Linked DNA regions of Rattus norvegicus. The main gene of each other region encodes a partner of the protein of the gene in region 3 in a complex. Links are inferred from orthologs where the notes say so. Each region holds a gene or a part of one and is shown on either strand. Other genes may lie near its edges. The genes, in order: Itgb6, Lrrc32, Tgfb3, Itgb8 and Tgfbr2.

Evidence for each region.
Region 1: the proteins of Tgfb3 (region 3) and Itgb6 are in contact, whole or in part, in a crystal structure (PDB 4UM9), measured with the Homo sapiens proteins. The link is inferred for Rattus norvegicus from reciprocal best matches to the Homo sapiens genes TGFB3 and ITGB6. Residues at the interface, in NP_001316868.1 of Homo sapiens: His259, Gly262, Asp263, Leu264, Arg266, Leu267, Lys268; in NP_000879.2 of Homo sapiens: Ser142, Ala143, Ser144, Asp147, Pro196, Cys197, Ser199, Ile200, Tyr202, Cys204, Ala234, Asn235, Ile236, Asp237, Thr238, Glu240, Asp271, Lys355.
Region 2: the proteins of Tgfb3 (region 3) and Lrrc32 are in contact, whole or in part, in a cryo-EM structure (PDB 8VSB), measured with the Homo sapiens proteins. The link is inferred for Rattus norvegicus from reciprocal best matches to the Homo sapiens genes TGFB3 and LRRC32. Residues at the interface, in NP_001316868.1 of Homo sapiens: Leu24, Ser25, Thr26, Cys27, Thr28, Leu30, Pro347, Pro349, Tyr350, Leu351, Arg352, Thr357, His358, Val361, Leu364, Leu368, Ser375; in NP_001122394.1 of Homo sapiens: Ala110, Ser135, Tyr137, Ser160, Val184, Met186, Asp187, Ile188, Asp190, Phe193, Leu202, Leu204, Arg206, Asn207, Ser208, Thr210, Cys211, Ile212, Ser213, Asp214, Phe215, Ser216, Leu217, Cys227, Asn228, Ser229, Lys254.
Region 4: the proteins of Tgfb3 (region 3) and Itgb8 are in contact, whole or in part, in a cryo-EM structure (PDB 8VS6), measured with the Homo sapiens proteins. The link is inferred for Rattus norvegicus from reciprocal best matches to the Homo sapiens genes TGFB3 and ITGB8. Residues at the interface, in NP_001316868.1 of Homo sapiens: Gly262, Asp263, Leu264, Arg266, Leu267, Lys268; in NP_002205.1 of Homo sapiens: Ser156, Ala157, Ser158, Asn161, Arg206, Gln210, Cys211, Tyr214, Leu216, Ser247, Gly248, Asn249, Ile250, Asp251, Thr252, Glu254.
Region 5: the proteins of Tgfb3 (region 3) and Tgfbr2 are in contact, whole or in part, in a crystal structure (PDB 9B9F), measured with the Homo sapiens proteins. The link is inferred for Rattus norvegicus from reciprocal best matches to the Homo sapiens genes TGFB3 and TGFBR2. Residues at the interface, in NP_001316868.1 of Homo sapiens: Arg325, Lys331, Trp332, His334, Tyr390, Tyr391, Val392, Gly393, Arg394; in NP_003233.4 of Homo sapiens: Leu50, Phe53, Asp55, Ser72, Ile73, Thr74, Ser75, Ile76, Glu78, Val100, Asp141, Glu142.

Annotation. Positions count from the first base shown.
Region 1 is NC_086021.1:65,527,534-65,531,783, forward strand, and holds the start of Itgb6 (integrin beta-6 precursor), read right to left. Parts: upstream 2,801-4,250; 5' UTR 2,750-2,800; intron 2,630-2,749; 5' UTR 2,615-2,629; coding exon 2,554-2,614; intron 1,905-2,553; coding exon 1,825-1,904; intron 1-1,824. UniProt on the Homo sapiens protein: Integrin alpha-V:beta-6 (ITGAV:ITGB6) is a receptor for fibronectin and cytotactin. It recognizes the sequence R-G-D in its ligands. Internalization of integrin alpha-V/beta-6 via clathrin-mediated endocytosis promotes carcinoma cell invasion.
Region 2 is NC_086019.1:162,196,335-162,200,508, forward strand, and holds the start of Lrrc32 (transforming growth factor beta activator LRRC32 precursor), read left to right. Parts: upstream 1-1,368; 5' UTR 1,369-1,421; intron 1,422-2,466; exon of another isoform or gene 2,467-3,158; intron 3,159-3,172; exon of another isoform or gene 3,173-3,302; coding exon of another isoform or gene 3,303-3,375; intron 3,376-4,174.
Region 3 is NC_086024.1:111,454,143-111,458,313, forward strand, and holds the start of Tgfb3 (transforming growth factor beta-3 proprotein preproprotein), read right to left. Parts: upstream 2,805-4,171; 5' UTR 2,407-2,804; coding exon 2,055-2,406; intron 1-2,054. UniProt on the Homo sapiens protein: Transforming growth factor beta-3 proprotein: Precursor of the Latency-associated peptide (LAP) and Transforming growth factor beta-3 (TGF-beta-3) chains, which constitute the regulatory and active subunit of TGF-beta-3, respectively.
Region 4 is NC_086024.1:146,299,243-146,302,751, reverse strand, and holds part of Itgb8 (integrin beta-8 precursor), read left to right. Parts: intron 1-654; coding exon 655-901; intron 902-2,292; coding exon 2,293-2,458; intron 2,459-2,978; coding exon 2,979-3,137; intron 3,138-3,509. UniProt on the Homo sapiens protein: Integrin alpha-V:beta-8 (ITGAV:ITGB8) is a receptor for fibronectin. It recognizes the sequence R-G-D in its ligands.
Region 5 is NC_086026.1:124,758,668-124,762,696, reverse strand, and holds the start of Tgfbr2 (TGF-beta receptor type-2 precursor), read left to right. Parts: upstream 1-1,227; 5' UTR 1,228-1,583; coding exon 1,584-1,677; intron 1,678-4,029. UniProt on the Homo sapiens protein: Transmembrane serine/threonine kinase forming with the TGF-beta type I serine/threonine kinase receptor, TGFBR1, the non-promiscuous receptor for the TGF-beta cytokines TGFB1, TGFB2 and TGFB3.

The DNA.
Region 1 (4,250 bases), on a different chromosome or scaffold from region 3:
GTTTGGCTCATTCTTCGCTCTAATGGCCACAGTTGACGTGCTCGTGACTGCTTTCGTTATTGGAGAGGCCTCTAAAATGGTTTGGCCCCAATACTTGATGATCACCTGACCAGCTATAACTCAAACTCTCAGTGACACCTTAGGAAACACTTATTTATGCTAAAAAATGAATTTAGTTATAAATTCTAGTGAACTGAAGAGATAGGTCAATGGCTAAGAGTGCATATTGCTCTTCTAGAGGACCCAAGTTCAAATCCCGGCACCCATGTCAAGAAACTTGCAACTGCCTGTAAGTGTAATTCAGGCGTTCTGATTCCCTCTTCTGGCCTCCATGCGCGCGCGCACACACACACACACACACACACAAACACACACACACACACACACACACACACACGCAGTAAACATACACTCTAGATAGATACAATATGTTTTGTCTCTGCTATGAAACGAATACTGTCTTCTAGACAAGAGTGTATGGGTTCGTTCCTTGTTGAATATTCTCAACCTTGCATTTGATATTTGACCTTAAAAGAAAATAATTGCCTTGAATGTTATTTGTTGCCTAAGCAGTTAAGGCAGTGTGTGTGTGTGTGTGTGTGTAGAGGCACAGGGGTGGGGAGACTTTCTGCATGTGAGGCAACCCTCCACAGATCCATAATGAACAGGGGATTTGGGTGCTAACAGTTACAGCCCAGTTCTAATCCAGGCATCTAGATTCCTTTCCCTTTGCATGCTACCTGGCTCCTGCTGTTGGCATTTGCAAGCCTTGATTGGCACTTAGATTCTTTCCAATGGGTGGGACTTAAAATCCAGAAAGCCAAAGGCTGCTTTTTCTTAGTGTGAATCCTTTACACTACACCGTGCTCTCCGCATCACGACACGGGCTGTGACTTGGTCTATCTTGTTATTCAGTCCTCACAGTCTCCATACTTCTTCACACAAGTTTCACTCTGTCCAGACAAGGACCGTTTCTTTAGAGCAGTAGTTCTCAACATTCCAAATGCTGCAACCCCTTTAATACAGTTCCTCATGTTGTGGTGACCTTCCCAACCACAAAATTACTTCCGTTGATACTGCATAACTGTGATTTTGCTACTGTTAGGAGTCGTCATGTAAATCTATGTGTTTTTCAATGATCTCGGGCGACTCCTTTGAAAGGGTCATTCAACCCAGTCAGGGATTGTGACCTACAGGTTGAGAACCACTGCACTGCTTTTGAACTGTGCTGTGCTCACTCTGTTCAGGACTATGCAAAAGAATTGGCTGATGCCTGAATCATAGTTTTCCCTTCTTGAAGTACCTAGCAGAGACTTACAATGGCTCTCAGGTCCCAGAGGGAGCACAACTACATTATATCAGCATTCAATGTCTGCGTCACTTTGGACAATATCTCCATGGCCACCAATTATCCAGACAGAATGTTACACCAGCAAACAGCTAGAAAGACTTTATAGTAAGGGAAGGCTGGCACCACTGGCCAGGCAGAGGCAGCCACATCTCTGTGAGTTCCAGGCCAGCCAGTGCTATGTCGTGAGACCCTGTCTCTAAAATAAAAATCAAAAGTAAGTAAAGTGACTATATTAAATAAGAGAATTGCCTAGATTTAATAAAGGATGTTAAGTTTTTAAAGGACAGTGTGACATCCGTTCCCTCAGTGAGTCGTTTCCAAGGTATAGATGAAAACAAACTTTGATCCACTGACTCCCACATTCCATTCTCGATCTAGTTAGTCATTCAACCCCACAGAGAGAAGCGCTTTCACTGAGGACGTTAATGGATGTGGAAACAGTGTTAGAAACAGGGCAATAGCCAGGGATTTACCTCCTGGGAGCACCAGGCGCAGTGAGGTCCTGTGAGCAGGCAGTCTGAGCAGGTTTCTGCACCACTCCAGGCACAGCCACCTAAGGGCAAACAACCAAGGATTAAAGCCCTCTCCCTTCATTCCGTTTACAGGACTAACCCTTCCTCCTCGAGCAAAGCTATATAGAAATTAATCCTCGGACGGCCAGCAACTCACATCAAAGTTTATAGCTTATATCTCCATCATGTAAGCAGTCTCTCAGACCACAACCATGTCTAACCGCTCAGTACAGAATCATCGGATTCAGCTCCAGTTCAACACCTGCCACTTAATTTCAAAAACAAGTCTGTACCCATTAAAGAGGTTTCTCGTATAAATTCAGCATTTCTGGTTCTGAATCTTCCACACTCATGATTATGACTCCCAGGTGGATGGTCTTGTTGTGTAACAAAGCAGAAAAGCTTCCGAAGTGGCTATCAGAACAACACTCAGAAGTCACATCGTTCAGGAACGCTGTCTGATCCTCCTCATTAAAATGCCCGTGAAGCCTTTGCGTTTATTTACCTTGTACCTAGAACGTTCACTGGGGGGAATGCCCTATGCCTGCCTACAGTTTGTACAAGTGCCTCAGTGGCAGGAGAGCCATCAGACAGGTCAAATGAAAAATGACTGCGGGTCTGTTTTCTGAACCAAATGACAGTTTGTCAAGCCCATGATGAGAGCGATATCCGAGAGAGCTCCGGGCTTACCTTGGACGTGATCATTCCTTCCTAGAAGTAGCAGGAACAGGCAGACCAGCTCAATCCCCATTCGGTTCAGTTTTCACTGTGCAGACAGATTAAAAATGAATTACCTTCAGGGTTACAAGACCAAAGCTGGAAGCCGTGAAAGTCTTTCTTGCAGTGTTTTTTTTTTTTTTTTTTTTTTTTAAGTAAAACTACTTACACTGCTTTGAAAAGTAACTTGAGCTGTAAATTCGAAAGCTTTCATTAAGACTGAAATGAAAACAGAAGCTACCTGGCCAGGCAAAGAAGAAAAGCTGTGTTTAAAAGCAACTTCAACATGCGTACTTCCTCATTCGCCTTATAAGGAAGTCAGGTGTGCAATCACCGAGAAGGTGGGGAGACTCGGGTGCAGGAGACATTTTTATGTGTGAGCATTCTATTAGCTGTACTGTATCCTAGAGAGACTCGGTCTCTTCAGTGAAATGCTAATCAAGGAGCTGTCAAAAGACGGATTTAAATGTATGCTTCTTATGACAATTTTTAGTTTAAGGCAGTGAGGATGTGAAGCAAAACACCAGAACTTAAGCTAAATATAAGGAAGGCTAATTAAAAAAAAAAAAAAAAGCCAACCGAAAATACCTGAAATTTTTGGTTTTCATGTTAGAGCCTCTGCAGAGAATTCAAACGAGCTCTGGAAAATAAAAACATTATTTTACAGTCAAATTAGAAGTTAGGCAAAGGAGAACCAAACACTGTTTTCTTATCTTTCAAATTATATAAGAGGTATTTTTTTCACACGCCCAGAATTCTTATTTTTTTAAAAGTGCATTAAAAAGCACTGTATATGGAGATCAACTGGATGGAAAGAAAGCCTCAGCGTAACAACAGAAACAATGCAGGGAGAAACAATCGCAGCCAAGATTCTGAATCTGTCTCTAGAGCATTCTTCCAGGGCGGTGACGACAGAGAGCATTCGCTGGACACACAGAAGGTCCTGCGCGCCTCTTCAAGTACCAAGATCGCAAAGCAAACAAATGATTACTAAAAGCAAGGTTAAAAAAAAAAAAAAAAAAAGGAAAGGAAAGGAAAGGAAAGCCTCCCAGCTCCCGGCTTGGCACATAGGAATCATTTATTTGTATTATGAATGACAGCTCAAAATGTGTGCATTCTACAGGTAAATCTTCAAGGTTCGTATCCCCCGCCCCCTCTCCCCCACCCTCCCTTCAGGGGCCTTTCAGGACCTGTAGAAACTGTGAGAGGTAAGAATCAAATACTCTGTCACTCTAAGCCGTCTGACCTTAGGCAGGCTCCTTTATGTCTCAGCTCAAGGCCTGGGAGACTATCTTTTGAAGGTATGTTTCCAGGCAGGCGTGAGAAACCTGGAAAGAGAAGAAAACAAATTATAGTGTACTCAGATTTTTTTTTTCTTCTTCCCAGCAGCCTATAGTCTGTTTTCAACTCTGTCATATACGCAATCCAGGAAGAAAACAGAAAGATTCCTGCAGTAAGAATCCAGATCAGAGAGCTGAAAGATGAGACTTTGAGAGAGAGGAAAAAAAAAACAGAGTGTGAAATGTGTGCCTGCATTCGAAGGATGTTGGAACCATGATTCTCTGTCTATGATACTGCCGCCATTTTTAAAACCCATCGGCAAGTGTTTTCTGAGCATTTGTGTCAGATATGCTCTTTTAAGATAAATTTTTAGTTGACATAACAATGGA
Region 2 (4,174 bases), on a different chromosome or scaffold from region 3:
TGACCCCATGGACACGAACCTGAAAAAGGTGTCGGACACCTAAAGCTGCAGATGAGGGGAGGAACATTCTCTAACATCCATTGGGTACAGGCCCATCAACTTCATCCTGTCCTCGTACTATGTCCAAAAGAGCAGCTCTTGTCATCCCATACTTTGCAGAGAGGGAAACTGAAGTTCAGTCTGACTAGATAGTACAGACAAGGGCTGGGGTGCTCCTGGGAGCCAGGACCCTGTGAGTTCCTGAGGTGGGGGTGGGGGGACAGGAAGCTTGGCTACTCTGCTGCCCTGACATCAGGGGATGCCTCCTTCATGAAACTTTTCCTGACCGTAGTGTCAGGGTTCCCACTACTCAGCACTGAATTAGATGGGAGGGAAGGCCCAGCTCCACTCTGGCTCACCCTGCTTGGTGCTGCTTACTCTCACGCTGGCTGCCGTTAAGATATGGTGGACGGCTTTGAATCTTTGCTCATGCTCTGCCCATGCTCCAGAGTAGCCACAAGCCCCTTTTTTGGTACATGACCCCATGGACGCGAACCTGGGAGAACATTATGAATGCCGAACCAGGGACTGGAACACAGTGGTAACGCTCTTCTCCCAGGATCACCCATCTTTCAGTCTAGACCCAGCAGGACACGGTGCCAGTGACTGAGAAGGCTAAGTACTTGAAAAGGCAGCAGCTTTGGGTAAGTTGTGAGACTATCATTATGCAATTCAAGCTATGCGAGCCTCGGGTCCTCCAACTGTACGCAGGGAACTGACAAGTCTCAGTCAACTGGCTTTTCATACATATTCGCCGTCCTATCCTTCACCCCAACTCCAACTCCTGGCCTCAGTTTCTCCATCCGTTAGTTGGAGACTTTGACAGGCTTAGAGATGACTTAAAGGCAGGATACCCGAGGTACGGGGGAACCCCCTCAGGGTCGTCCCAGGGCCAAAGAAGGGTCACTTCCTTCCGTGCCCGAGGTTGTCAGTCACCTCTGGGTGAGCCCACCCCCACCCCACCCCACCCCCGCCTTAGTGCGGTGGCGCCAGGATTTCCTCCGCGGACCTGCGGCTCCCCGCACCCCAGACCTCGCATGCCCACGGCTGCACGTGCGCTGCCCCCGCTCAGTTTCCTTTGTGATCCTTCTCCCTCCAGACGTTTTTCGGTTTCAAGTGCCGCCCTGGCCCGGGGCGGGCGATTCGAGAGCAGAGGTGATGTTCGGTTCCTAGGTCCGCGCAACTGGCAGGGCGGTGTTAGGACCCCGCGGCTCCCAGCCCCAGGGGGCGTGGCCGAGAGGGGTGCTATTTAAAAGGCGGGAGCCGCCCCCTTGCCGCCGGCTGGAGCGGCGCTAGAGCAGCCGGGCCACGGCGGGCCAGACCCCCGGGGTTGTGCGAACGATGTTCGGAGGAGTCGGGCGGCGGCGGCGGCGCTGAGCCAGGTAGGGGCGGCGGAAGGCGGCGGTGCCTAGGGAGCTGGGGCCGGACTCTCCTTCTGCACCCGGGTATTAGCTTATCTACCCAGGGAAGGGTTCGGATAGGCGTTCCCATTTGACAGCTGGGAAAATCGAGGCCGGAAACTCCGTGCGTGCCTCGGAGCATACAGCCAACCTAGCACTTAAGGATTTGAATTCAGGTCTGCCCCAGGCGGACATGGGCTTTCCGCACCATCACTCTTGTCTCTGGAGGGGATACCCAGCACTCTGGGGAGACTTGAAGCCTCCCTTCTTTATGGATAGGAGGAATCCCCTACCCCATCTCCTCCCTGACATTTCACATCATATGCTCATTCCTTTGGGTTAAAGTCTGATCCCCTGAGATGTGGGATGTCTCTAGAATGGGCTGCCCTTAGTGATTCACTGCCCTGTGAGCCTTGAAGCTGCTCTCCCAGACCCCTTTTGCCAGTACATCATAGCAGATTGAGAGCCCTACCACTCAGTGTACTCCTGAGCCAGGCCCAGGACCTGTGGGCTCCTCGGCTACCTTAGGAAGGAAGTCTTGGCAGTTGCTTTGGAGACACAGGGCTTGGATTCTGATTCTGACTCTTCTGTTTACTGTACAAGTGACTTTGGGTAAGTCATTTCTCTGAACCACATGGTCCAGGAGAGATTTCTACAGGGTGCCAGTGGGGTCTGCACTAGTAGAGACCACACAGCACTAAGGGACTATATAGATCTGGCTCGGTCCCAGTTTTAGCACACGTAGGGCCTAGGGATCAGGCATTTGGCCTTCCCAAACCTCCGTTCCGTCCTCTGGTCTGTATATGGGAATTATAGTAATCACCTCACTTGGTGGTCATGAGAATTAAAAGACCCGTAATCGACCTATGGCTTAGAAAAATGTGTGACCTCCTTGTATAGTAGGGGCAGTCTTATTTTTATTATAGGATTGCCCCCATTATCTGTCTGTCTGTTTCCCTCTGTCACACACACACACACACACACACACACACACACACACACACACAGAGAGAGAGAGAGAGAGAGAGAGAGAGAGAGAGAGAGAGAGAGAGATTCTTTGACACCTCTCCAATCAGAATCCAGCCACCTGCCTGCAGAGCTAGGACCTCTCTCCTCAGCACCATTGGTACTGAACCTTCAGGGAAGGACACTGTAGGGCCTTAGTGCTTTCCTGGCCACACCCCACCTCATCATCCCATGGCTAAGGATAGCTAGTGTCCGAATGGGAACTGGTGTACGCTGCAGATGAATCACCCAGGCAGAACTTGCCCTGGGGGCCATACTAGTGAGTGTTGGGACTTGACAGTGACCCAGGGTTCGAATGCCTCTGGTCTTCCCTGTGGGACTGAAGATCTCAATGCTGCAGATGGGGCACAGCAGGGAGTTTCTCCATCATATTTCTGTGGTTCAGTGGGGGCTGTCCCTTCTGGATATGCAGAAGCCCTATGGTGGGGTAGAACAGGACTTGGCAGAAGAAGGAGAGATAGGGTCCCTTTGGGCATCCCCAGCTTAACCCCAGGTCCTGACTTGTCCTTACTGCAGCCAAACTTCTGACGTAATTCAGCCACTTGTTCCCTGAGAGAAGTTTAGTGAGCATATACTTAAGGAATGAAGCAAATGAGAAATGGGGGGAGGAGGGATACAGCACCCAGGAGCTTGAGCAGGAACATCCTGGACCAGGAGGGAGCAGCAAAGCAGAGTCCCCAGGCAGCCAGGAAGGTACTGAGGTGACTGAGGAGTCTGCTGAGGGGGGAAAGGTGGTAGGAGGAGCTGATGGGCGAGTGTGTGAAGCCTGAACACTACTGGAGATTTCAAAGTGATTTGTAAGATCTGGCATGTGACTTTGAAACGTCACTGGCTGCCATGGATGGGACAGATTGTCCCGTACTGGAGGGAAGCAAGAACACAAACAGTGGAGTTGGCTGTTACAGTGAAGGTGGGCAGCTTTGAACCTGGTGGGCTAGGGCAGGGAGGGGATGGGGGGGGGGATGGAGGGAGTTGGGAGACCTCTCCTCATCTGCATCCCACAGAGGAGATTTGCCTGCCGCTGTGCTCTCTATCTGGCTTCCCTGTGTCATGAGGTGTACCCACGGGTACTTTCATTTTAAAGGGTAGGGAATCATAGTGGGGTGTGCTCTGTGCCCCACACTGGGCTGTCCAAAGCTCAGCAACTTCAAGAGCCCGGAGAACACAAGGCATCTGTGGGGGACCAGAAAAGGCTCCCCAGAGGATCTGGCATCTAAGCTCCACGGGGTGAGGAAATATTCAGCTGCAGGGGAGGCAGAGGAAGTGAGGGTTCCAGAGGTCCAAAGGAAGCACACGTGTGTACATGTGTTCAGGGCCCAGAGAGAGTGGGGACAATGTCAAGTCAGGTGGGAGACAAGAGTTGGCCCAGGGAGGGCTGGCTGCCCAGGGCCTGGAGATGAAGGCCGGGGGTTTTCATTTAGCTCTAAGAATGCTGATGTTAAGCAGGTGGGGACTTCATTTGAACCAAAGGAACAAAATTTCCTCATAGCCTGCAGTGAAAGTGGAGCACTGTGGGGCAGGGCTGGGCTCTGGGGGAGCCAGGAAGGAGAGTCAAAAGGCCCATGCTGGCCCCTGTGTGTCTCAGCAAGATGGACAGCCACTGCACTGAGATTCATCCCCAGTGGGTTCTGACCGTCAAAAGAGCAGGCACAGGCCTGCAGATCTCTCCCAAGGCCGTCTTCAGAGTGACAAGTCTCATTCTCTTACCG
Region 3 (4,171 bases):
CATCACCTGTGCCAGCTGCAGAGTGCCTGGGCCTGCTTCCTGATGGTACTGTGAGCCTCCGTGGCATTGCCTCTGCCCCACTGAACCCTGACTCCTCCTTAGCATTGAGAAAATATTCTTGTTCACTGCGCCAAGTTGTCACAGGCTAGACCGCTACTCCATTGTCCCCATGACTTCCCTTGATGTTACAACCTGGGAACTGCACAACAACTGTGGTGGGCTGTCCTGGCTTTGTCTGAGGCTACATCTTTTGTAGCCTAGATTTCTGCACAAAATCCACATCCACACCTACCTGTGTAGCCGTGTGTTCACATGGATTGCTCATCATCATCTCAGGGCTCTAGACAGGGTGGGCCCTAGTGACTCAGAATCCCTTCTTCTCAGACTCTCTTCCTGACCCAGACTGTGAGGGTTCCAGGGCCACCCTCTTATCCTCTACTTCCCTCAGACTTGTGACCTTCTCTGATATCTGTGGCTACTATGACTCGCCTTGGTAGGTGACCAAGGAGTCAAGGGTTCATCCCATCTAATCCTGGATGACTCTATAAACTGTGGTCACCAGGCAGTCCCTGAACGGACACCAGTAAGCAGACCCTAGGCAGGGAGCTCCAGGTCTGTCTAGTTTCCAGCCTGGACTCTGCATGGGTAGCCAGATCCTAAGAAAAGGTGATACTCCAGCCAGTCACAGGAAACTGCCCCGAGAACACCTGTATCCCTGCCTCCAGAAACTACACTTTTCTTTCTGCCTGGTGTAGACCAGCTTCCTACTGGCCTTTTGCATCTTCCTTGAGAGCGGCTCCACCCATTGGCGCTCACTCCTGTTCCTTCCCTGCAGCCGGGTTTCTCTAGCCTCCTGCTGTTTGCCCCATGGCCACTCTGACTATGCCAGCCTCCTGGCTCCAGCCAACCCTTCCACCCCAACTTGGGCACTGCCCACCTGGGAGGTGGGCCTGGGCTGAAGTCACCGGGGCACGGAGGACACCTGCTGGCAGGAAAAGCAAACAGAGCAGCTCCCGGACTCAGGCCCAGAGCCGCTTACATTCCTCTTTCCTGGGCTGTCAGTTTCTCAACATCTGCCAAATTTCTCTCTCTTGTATTGAGCTTTTTTAAATCCCCATTCAGTAAACACACATGACTTCCACACGTGTACAAACACACACAGGCGTCTCACCCAGAAGCTTCACAGTTCCTCCGCAGACAGCAGCCTCCTGGGAAGAAACTTCCAGACACACATCCCCATCACCCCCGCAGCCATCCCTTGGGCAGATGCCTTGGGCTATCCAGAACCTCAATCCTGGCCTCCTGTGTCCATTAGCCTGGGAGGCCCTGCTTTATGCATATGAATCTGTCTACTGTGTAATGTAAGAGTCCATATTGCCCAAAAGTCCACGTATGTGGGAATATACATGTGTTACCCTCCCCCTCCCAGCTCACGTGGGTCACGTGTGTGTGTGTGTGTGTGTGTGTGTGTGTGTGTGTGTGTGTGTGTGTGTGTGTGTGTTAGACTGAAAAGCCTCGGTTGGGCTTCCAAAAGCAGCTTAACAAACTCAAATTTGAGGCAGGTACACTGTGTTTCCTGAAAGCCGGGAAGCTGACCCAGAGATGTGGTATAAGGAGCCAGGAAAAGCAGGGAGAATATGGAGATGTCCAGACTCAGATGACCAGGAGGATTTGGGGGCCAGCCAGCCCACCCCTCTACAGAACCCACGTGCTCACAGTGAACCTCTATGTGTTCTCACACACAGATATGTAAGAACATGTTTCCTTAGGTGGCACTATACAGTTCCCAGTTACTACCCACCAAGGGTGTCCTAGGAGTTCCGAACGCCACTTGGCTTCAGGGCTCCTGGCCTCTTGAAGCCCTTGGCTCTTACCAGAATGTCTCTGCGCCTTTCCCACCCACCTACCCAGCTGCAGCTGCAGGGCCTGACCTCTGTATTGAACCCCCGGGGGTGCGCTCTGCTGTATAAGGGCCACCAGGCCCCCCCTCTGTGGAACTCCCTTTTCCAGTTCATCCCCTCCAGAGCAGACACCCAGCAAGCATTGGGACTTACTGTGCTCCGCCAGCCCCTGGATCATGTCGAATTTATGGATCTCTTTGGCATAGTACTCTGACTCCGAGGTTTCCTGAGTGCAGCCTTCTTCCCTCTCCCCGTGCATCTCTTCCAGCAACTCCCGGGTGCTGTTGTAAAGTGCCAGGACCTGATAGGGGACGTGGGTCATCACCGACGGCTCAGGGGGGCTGGTGAGCCTGAGCTTGCTCAAGATCTGTCCCCTAATGGCTTCCACCCTCTTCTTCTTGATGTGGCCGAAGTCCAAGGTGGTGCAAGTGGACAGAGAGAGGCTGACTGTGGCCAAGTTCAGCAGGGCCAGGACCACCAGAGCCCTTTGTAAGTGCATCTTCATGTGTGAACCCAGGAACGAGGCCAGGGGACTGGGGAGGCCTGGCAAGGAGGAGACCCCAGTAGAAAGGGGGAGGAAAACCAGGCGTCCTCCCCAGATCCCAAAGACTGAGGCTTGGCAAGAGGGTGCATGAACTCACTGCGCTGTGTGAGCTTCAGGACTCCCAGGAAGCGCTGGCAACCCCGGGACGAAGTAGCGGACTGTGTGCTGTGTAGCGCTGGGATTCTTGTCCATATATCTAAACAGGTTCTGCCGGGCTCTGACTCCCAGCAGGCCAGGTGGAGGGCAAGCCGAGGGTTGGGAGGGGTGGCAAGGCAGCTGGGAGTGGGAAGAGAGCTGGAGTTTTTCCTTAGGTAAAAATAAATAGAGCGGATATCTGATATTGCCAAACGCCGCTTGGCGATGAGGAGAAAGTGAGTATTTTAAAGAAAGTGCAGAAGAGCCATGGCTGGGTCCCAAAAATCAAGCTCTTTGCCTTGCCCTGAAGGGAGAATTAGAAAAGCGAATGGAAAAGAGAAGGAAAAAAATGTTTAAAAAAAATCACCAGTGGGTATGTGGGGAGAGGCAGCGCTGGGCAACGGCAGGCCCAGCTAAAGGTGGGGGCAGTGCGGGACACACTTGTCTCGGGAGCACTCCATTCATGCTTTCCCTTTTGTTTACACTTCCTCGGGGGCTTTCTAAATGACTCTGTTCGCGCTGCCTCTCCTCTTCATTGGCTGGGATGAGGGATTATATACAACTGGCAAACTGGGAGGGCAGGCCTCTTGGAGACAGCTCCGATAATCCACTTGGACCCAGGGTCACCAGCATCTCAGCTTATCTTCTCTCTCGGCCATGGCTTCTGTCCCTTGCTTCTCTTTAGGAATTAAAAAAAAAATCAAAAGAAAAAGAAAATAGAAGCCGATTCACCGCAGCTGACTCCGGAAAGCGTTATTTCTTCCTCCGCAAGGCCCTTCCCGTGCGCGTCTCGCCTCTCTGTGGCTCAGCCCCCTACACTCGGCCCTCTTCTTCCCTCCCTTTCTCTCTCCCCTTCTCCCTCTCCTCCCTCTCCCTCTCTCTCTCTCACACACACACATGCACACACACTGCTTTCTCTATTTCTCTCTGCTGAAATTTTATACCTCCCTCCCATGACGTATCGGCCTGGGGTGGGGGAGGGAGGGAGGGACCAGCGCACACAGCCTCTCTCGCTGCACGGTTTTAATGTTTTAAACAGGCACAGGAAAAGCCGAGCCCATTTGAAAAATACTTTGTGAGTCCTCTGGTTCGACGTGGTAACTGAACTTTTTTTTCCCCTCCTCTTGGAGTCATTCCTGCTACACGTTGGCTGTTTTTCTGGAAAGTTACTCCCGAGCCCCCTCCCTCCTGCTACCCCGGCCCCTCTGCGCCGGGGCCAGCTGTCAGTCCACGCTCCCCGCCTCGCGCTCTCGCCTCCCCCGCGTCCCGGATCGCCCCCGGTCGGACAGGGGACACAGGCTAGGTTCGCTAGGGGAGAAGGGCCGGGCGGTCCGGCCACTCTCTCCAGGCCCCAGGGTGGAACCGGGCTCGGCCGCGATCCTGGCAGCGGTTCCTCACTGACCATCCCGAGCCCGGCAGCTGCTGCTGGGGTAAATGATGGCACTTTCCGGAAGGCCGAGGGTGCCCTCTGGCGAGGCAGGGCCGCCAGTGACAGAAGCTTGGAGGCAAGCAACACCAGATCCTGCGATCACGTCCCGACCCCACGCGCCAGCCGCTCCCCATCCAGTGCGGCTGAGCACTTGGCCCCAAC
Region 4 (3,509 bases), about 35 Mb from region 3:
CTGTAGTTTAGATCTGAAACATCCCTCATGGCCCTTTGTTTGAACACTGTGTCCTCAGCTTCTGACACTGTTTAGAAAGGATATGGCTGGTATAGTGGGTCATTGGGAGAGACTTTCGGAAGCCATACCCAACTCTGCTACCTCTGTAACACTCTGATCCCTAATCTATAAAGATAAGAAAATAGTGGGTCATTGAGCTCCTGCTGCTCCAACTACCGTGCCATCTCCACCAAGATAACTGGCTGTATTCTCTAATCTGTGAGAGAAAACAATCTAACCTAAGTTGCCTCTATCCAGTATTGAGTCATGTACACAGTGATACACAGTGGCAGTCGCACAATAGGAAAAGAATCTTGATAGTGTGTAAATTTATGATAATTGTGCTACATAATAAAATATCACTGCAAACCACTAAGATGACTCAGTGACTACAGGTACTTGTTACACTTGACCACTCTAGTTCAATCCCTGGGATCCACAGGACAGAAGCACAGAACTGATTCTGACTCCTGCAAATTGTTGTCTAACCTCAGCATATATGTTGTGACAAGTGTGCTTACACACACACCAAATACAAATGAAAATGTCACTGTCTTACTGACATCTGAGATGTGTGAATGAAGACTGCATGATGTTTTTCTTTCTTTGAATTAGGAGCTGAAGCTAATTTTATGCTAAAAATCCGTCCCCTGAAGAAGTACCCTGTGGATCTTTATTATCTGGTTGATGTGTCAGCATCAATGCACAATAATATAGAAAAATTGAATTCCGTTGGAAACGATTTATCTAAAAAAATGGCCCTTTTTTCCCATGACTTCCGTCTTGGTTTTGGCTCATATGTGGATAAAACTGTCTCACCATACATTAGTATCCACCCGGAAAGGATCCACAATCAGTGCAGGTATCTAATGTTTCTTGTGAATAATAGTAAAAGAATCTTTCTTACGTTGTTTGTTCTAATATGAAGACTTACCGTGTTTCAAAATATTGTCTTCTTAAATAAAAGTTAAAAGTATTTGAAGAGGATCTTTCTTCTTCTCTGGAAACATTTAAGTTATATTTCCTCAAATATTGTTTATTTGCTTTTTGCCATAGGAGAAAACCTTACCTTTTACTAGTAATTTTGTATGAATTTACACCAATGAGGCTGACATACATATAAATACCTCTGGATATTGTATATTCCTCCTTTGTGGTTGCTCCAAATTTGTTGCTTTTAGGTTTGGCACATTTTATACTATTTATCATCACAATATTACACTGACATCTTACTATATTGTGATAGTGTATACTTGCATTGTTAATGATGTAACCAACTGTCTCAAAGATTATAGATCAAAAAATATGAATTTGATTCTAAATAGTACCTGCTTCCCCAAGCAAAGAAAACTAACTCCAGGCATGCAAGTTTATACATAGTACATCACTTGTTAAAATTTCAGAGAAATGACTCTGTAAACCTCTTGTCCCATAAATCATTTTCTTAAAGGAATTTTCTATTTCTATAAACTGCTCCAATCTTTTCACTCTACACATTCAAACTTGAAGAAATAGCTATCAATTAGACAAAATGGTATTGACTTATCTTTTACAGGACATTGAGAAGCCTTCTCCATTTCTTTATTCATTCATTCATAAGGTTTTCTGTGATCAGGTGTTACTTTGTAGCTTAGACTGACCCAGAATTCTCAATCCTGACACCTCCGCCTCCCTAGGGCTTCGGTAACATTATGCGGAGCTTGAACAATCTCCCTGAAGGAGAGCCTACCTGAGGAATGAGTCTCTTTCTGAGTTGCCAGAGTGTTACCAAAGTCATTCTCATAAGTTTTACTGCTCACTAATAGTTCCACAGCAAGCTTCATTTTCAAAATTAGTATGATATCTTTTTAGAAATAAAAATGCAATATGCTATTTAAGCTGAATTCCCCAATTATCTCCCTGGATGTATTTCTCATCAGCTCTAAGACCAACTGTGATAGAAAATTAGTACAAATTCTTAGGTTCCTCTTAAAAATTCAGCTGTCATTAGCATATTAAAATACTTCATTGTCCTGTGTTCATGAAATACATAGAATCTTGAGTTTTGAACATCAAACCTTATAGTTCTATATTCTACTCACAAACATTAAGTGTTCACCAACATTAAATTCTCCAGTCTTACAGACTTTCTGTTATAAAAATTTCCCCACCCATTTCTTCTTACAGCAACTACCTAATCTGACTGTTAATAGTGCTTTGAAAATTTTAAGGAAGCACAGAAAACTAGATTTTGAACTTCCTTTTCCCACACAGTGACTACAATTTAGACTGTATGCCTCCCCATGGATACATTCATGTGCTGTCTCTGACAGAAAACATCACTGAGTTTGAAAAAGCAGTCCACAGACAAAAGATCTCTGGAAACATAGACACTCCTGAAGGAGGTTTTGATGCCATGCTTCAGGCTGCCGTCTGTGAGGTAAGTTAGTTTTGCATACTGGGTGCATAAGTGCTCAGATGTAGATGAGAGGGCAAGAGTTTTATGTTCTAGTTGATTTGTGGAGTGGAAACAGTGTGAAGAAATACATTTAAAAAAATTTAACTTCTTATCACTATTGAGATTCATTTTGCTATATGCTGGGATAATGGAACCAGGTTGGGAAACAACTATAGAGAGAAGATGAGATTTAACAAAGAGAATGCTTTTTTCTTGTACACACCTTAAGACAGAGTCAGAAAGTCTTGTGTCCCACTCCTGTCATGTCATTTGGTTTTATTCTTCCTTCAGTGGACCATGTGCCCCTATAGTCAGGAACTAGAGTGGCCAGATGATAGTGAAGGAGAGAAGGGTAAACAAATACTTAGGCATGCTATTTTAGAGACAGTACATCATTCAAGCCCGACAATGTTTGTCAATTCAAACATATCGTTTACTTGAGGTAAAGACCGCAGTGAGATCCATGTCATTGTACAAGGTCTAATTACATGTTTATTTTAAGAGTCATATTGGATGGCGAAAAGAAGCTAAAAGATTGCTGCTGGTGATGACAGACCAGACATCACATCTCGCTCTTGACAGCAAATTGGCAGGCATAGTGGTGCCAAATGACGGAAACTGCCATCTGAAAAACAATGTCTACGTCAAATCAACAACCATGGTAATGTAGCAACAGCCTTTCCTAGCTATAATGACCTCTTAGGCTAAAATTAAAGTTAAAATTGTCAATTCAGCCACTCTTGTCCCAGGAAATTACCTAAAAGCAAGTTGCAAAACCAAGATGGACCAGGAACCAACACCTATGGAGCAGAATACTCTACAATTACTGGTTGAGAAAGTTGATGTCTGAACGTCACTGATACTGTCTAGTATCTGACTCTGACAAGCTACTAAGAACTGTAGAGGTTTTTTTGGTTTTGAGTTTTTATTTTTTTTCAAATAAAGTGATAATAAGGGCTTATTTTCATGTGATTCAGAGGTCTTATAAAGAAAGAAAAACAAGGCTTTGCTTTGTGGAAATAAGCTACTTCTA
Region 5 (4,029 bases), on a different chromosome or scaffold from region 3:
GATTGAGGTACACATGGGATGTGAACTTACGGCCTCCACGTGCCCCACACAGACAGGTTCACACATGCACACGCGCACACCCACACACCCAAACCTACATGCACATGCATATGCACACACACACACGCACACACACACGCTCACGCACATGCACATGCATGCACACATGCACGCACACACACATACACCACAGAGATTGTCTCTGGAAAATGTGGTCACACCAGAAAGAATGAAAATTTTGATGGGTCTTCCTACTGATAGCCTTTCTACCTTCAGCCACGTATTTTCTGTCCTTACCTGAATTATCAAAGATTGATCATTGGAAAACAGAAAGCAGAACCCCCCAACCTAAGACACTTTTTATTTTATTTTTTATTCATTTTATTTTTGGTTTTCCAGGACAGTATAGCTTTAGCTGCCATAGAACTCACTCTGTAGACGAGGCTGGCCCCGAACTCGTAGAGTCCCGCCCACGTGCGCCATCCCAGCCTGGTCCCCAAAACACTTTTATTTCTTTAGTTTCTGACAGGCAACACCCTGAAAATACCAGCCCTACCGCGATCACAGGGCCAACTATTTGGCTTTACCCAGCAGACCACGCCCAGGAAATGGTCCTTCCAATCCGAGGCTCTACCCAGGTGCTCATTAGAAATGCAGACGCTGCCGGTTCAGACCTACTAAACCAGAACCTGCAGGTTAGCTAACTTCCTAGCCCAGAGTGATTAATTCGCACACTAAACTCGGAGACAAGCCCCTGGACTTTTGTTCCACAGTAAGAAACAGTCCTTTACAAACGTAATCACGCATGCATGTCCATAAAACTGAAACTAAGTTCTCATGAAGTGCTTACCGTTATTTTATTAGGGGAAACCACGTGTTCGGGACTCTGGAGCTACATTTCAGAGCTCCCTCCTGGGTCTCAACGGAGTTATGAAGTCCCTGGGAGCAATGCCTAGAAGGTGTAGGGGATGCTTGGAGGAGGGTATCAAGGAAAGTGGTTTACACCACCTTCTAGCTTGTTTTGCGAAACGTGCGCTTAGTCACTTCTGAGTTTGAACTTGGAGCCGGGACTTAGCAGGGTCGGGGTGAGTGGGAGCGCTGGGAGTGGGCAACTCAAAGTTCGTAGAGTCCCTCAAGGTCCAATCCAGCGGCCTTGATTGGTGGCCGGAGGAAGGCGAGGGCTGGAAGCTGGAGGAGAGGACCGGAGCTGGAAGGCTCTTGGGCGGCGAGAGGTCCTGCCCAGCTGTTGGCGAGGAGTTTCCTGTTTCCCTCCCGGCGCCCGGGTAAAGTTGATGAGTGAGTCACTCGCGCGCACCGACCGACGACACCCCCCGCGCGCGCACACGCTCGCCTGGGGGACGGAGCCCCAGCCTCCTGCGCAGCTCTCCTCGGCCGCCGGGGGCCTCCTCCGGGCCTCCGAGCTCCGGGGATCGCCGGCCACATCTGGCCCGCACCTCTGCCCAGCGCGCTCCGGGCGGCGCAGGCATCCTGAGAGGGCGAGGAATAAAGGCGCAGCCCGGGGTCCCCGAGGCTCGGTTCGCGGCGCCCCAGGGGCCGGTCTATGACGAGCGACGGGGGCTGCCATGGGTCGGGGGCTGCTCCGGGGCCTGTGGCCGCTGCACATCGTCCTGTGGACGCGCATCGCCAGCACGATCCCGCCGCACGTTCCCAAGTCGGGTGAGTGAGTGGCCGGGGCGCGACGCTGGGGGGTTCACTAGGGCTCCTCGCTCCTTCTCCAACCCCCAGGGCAGCGACTGACAGTCGGCCGCGGGACCCGGCGCGAGGGCGGAAACGGGAAGTTTGTAGCGGCCCGAGTCGGCTCGGGCCCGCGGGGTTCCGGGGAAGATCTCTCGCAAAAGAGCAGGACAGTCCACTTGCGGGGGACTTGGGGACGCTCCTGACCCCTTTGTGAGCGCACGAGAGGCGAGGGCGGCCACGAGGGGCCTGCATCCCCGGAAAGGGAAGTTTAAGAAGTTGGAAGTTGGAGGAGCATCGGCAGGGGACTGGCCGCCCAGCTGCTGCACACCTGGGCCGCTCACTGCCCGAGACACCGCGACTAAACCAGACTCCCAGCCCTCAGCTCTGCCACCTCGGGAGGGATTCTGGGCCGCGACTCACTGGGTACAAGTTAGAGAAAAGAACTGATCTCTAGCCTCACTGTTTCCTGGCCTGCTGGGATGCGGACCCAGTGAGGGTGGTCGGGTTGATGGCTGAGAAAAATTTGCTGCATGCCTACTAAGTGTTGGACTGCACGGGTACTGCCTGGAATTAAAGATCTCAGCAGCTGCGGTTCAGTGGAAACACCTAACCCGGGTTGCCCTCCAGGTCCCATCGCAGGGGTGGTGCAAGAACTAGGGCTCCTTCCTAAGAACTTTTTTGGGAAGTTTAAAGTCTGACATTTTAACCCTAAAGTTAGAATTGTTGCTGCTATCTGTGTAGGACCACTATCCGGGCAAATCTCGTGGCTCTGGGCCTCGGTTTCCCCTTGTGTATAACTCAGTGGTTCAGTTTGTGTAAGTTTACACTCTTTTCATCACTGGCTTTCCATGACCTTCCTTGGTGACTAAGAGGTGGCCAGGGTGGATTTGGGGTGAAACACAGAGGATGGGGTGGCCCTGTGTGTGCGTGTTGCCGGGCGCGGAGGTGGGGTTCGAGGGAGGGCTTTGAAGATGTCAGTAGTTGGAGTGATTTAACGGTTTTGGATCATATTGCAAACAGGAGCGGACCATCTCAGGGAAGAGTCCGATAAAGGAAAACAACAAAAATCCCACCAGGGTCTTAGTCGTTTCATAAACTCTGCTTTCGTGTCGTTGGTTTCCGTTAAAGGGCAGCTCCAGAAAGCCCAACTGTTTCTGATGTTACTCCAGCCTCTTAAAACTGGGCTGGGAGATTTGGCCCGGCTGGTAAGAGCATTTGCTGTGCAAGCTTGAGGACCTGAGTTCAAACCCCCCAGGGTCCGTATGCAAAGTTGGGCGTGGTTCATCGCCAGCCCAGTGGTAGTGAGAGAAGACTGAAGACCCTTTGGAAATTTCTAGATGCCAAGCTAGCTCTAGGTTCAGAGAGAGACTCCATGGAGAGTGACAGAGGGCACTTGGTGTCCTCCCCTGCCCCTTCCCATGCACACAGACCCTACCCCGAACACACATAAACACACGCAGGAAGAAAAAAATTAAAAGAAAAACTGCCGCGTTTTGCTGAAGACCATCCGAAAGAACACCCTTCTTTTTGTGTACATAAAACATTTGTTTTAGCTCGGGAAGAACCAAAGTCCAGAGGCCCCAGTTTGAGTTTTGTTTACAAGAGTGAGATTTGCGATTTTCGAGTTCCAGGCTCTGTAGCTTGTGGGTCATTTATACACAGTTTTAAACAATTAGCTGATGGGCTTGGTGGGTCTTGTTAATTTGGGCTTTAAATGATTTTATAAAACAGAGAGTTTTTTCTTTTTAAACATTTTATGGAATTGCTATTCCAGAATGTTTGGACAGTTCATTTTGAGTTGTACCCATGTGGATCAAAGTCTTTAAAGATGGTTTAAAGTTGGTCCCAGGGAAAGGATGTGTGGAATTCCACTTGCCTTTTCAGTTTCCAGAGAAGAAAAGGGTATTGGGATTTCTCTGACATAGTGGTAAACTGTGAGAATGTTTCTCAAGATAACTTTAATGCAAGAGACAATGAGAAGGAAGGAGGATTCTTTACAAAGCCCTAGTCAGTCCTAAACAAACAAATATCTCATGCTGACCAGCCTGGCAAGTGAACAAGCGATTTCAGTGTAAGAGAAATTCACACTAAAGAAAATTATTTAAAACTTCTTTTCCTCATGTTTCTCTGAGGGTGCTGTACATGAGTACTGGACTAGGGTGGGCACACCCTTGGGTGCTCATGGGTGTGGAGGCTGGAGGTTGACAGAGGGTGCTCATGGGTGTGGAGGCTGCAGGTTGACAGAGGGTGCTCATGGGTGTGGAGGCTGGAGGTTGACAGAGAGAGGGTGGTCTTCAGTTGTTCCACTTCATTTACTCAGGCAGGCTTCTT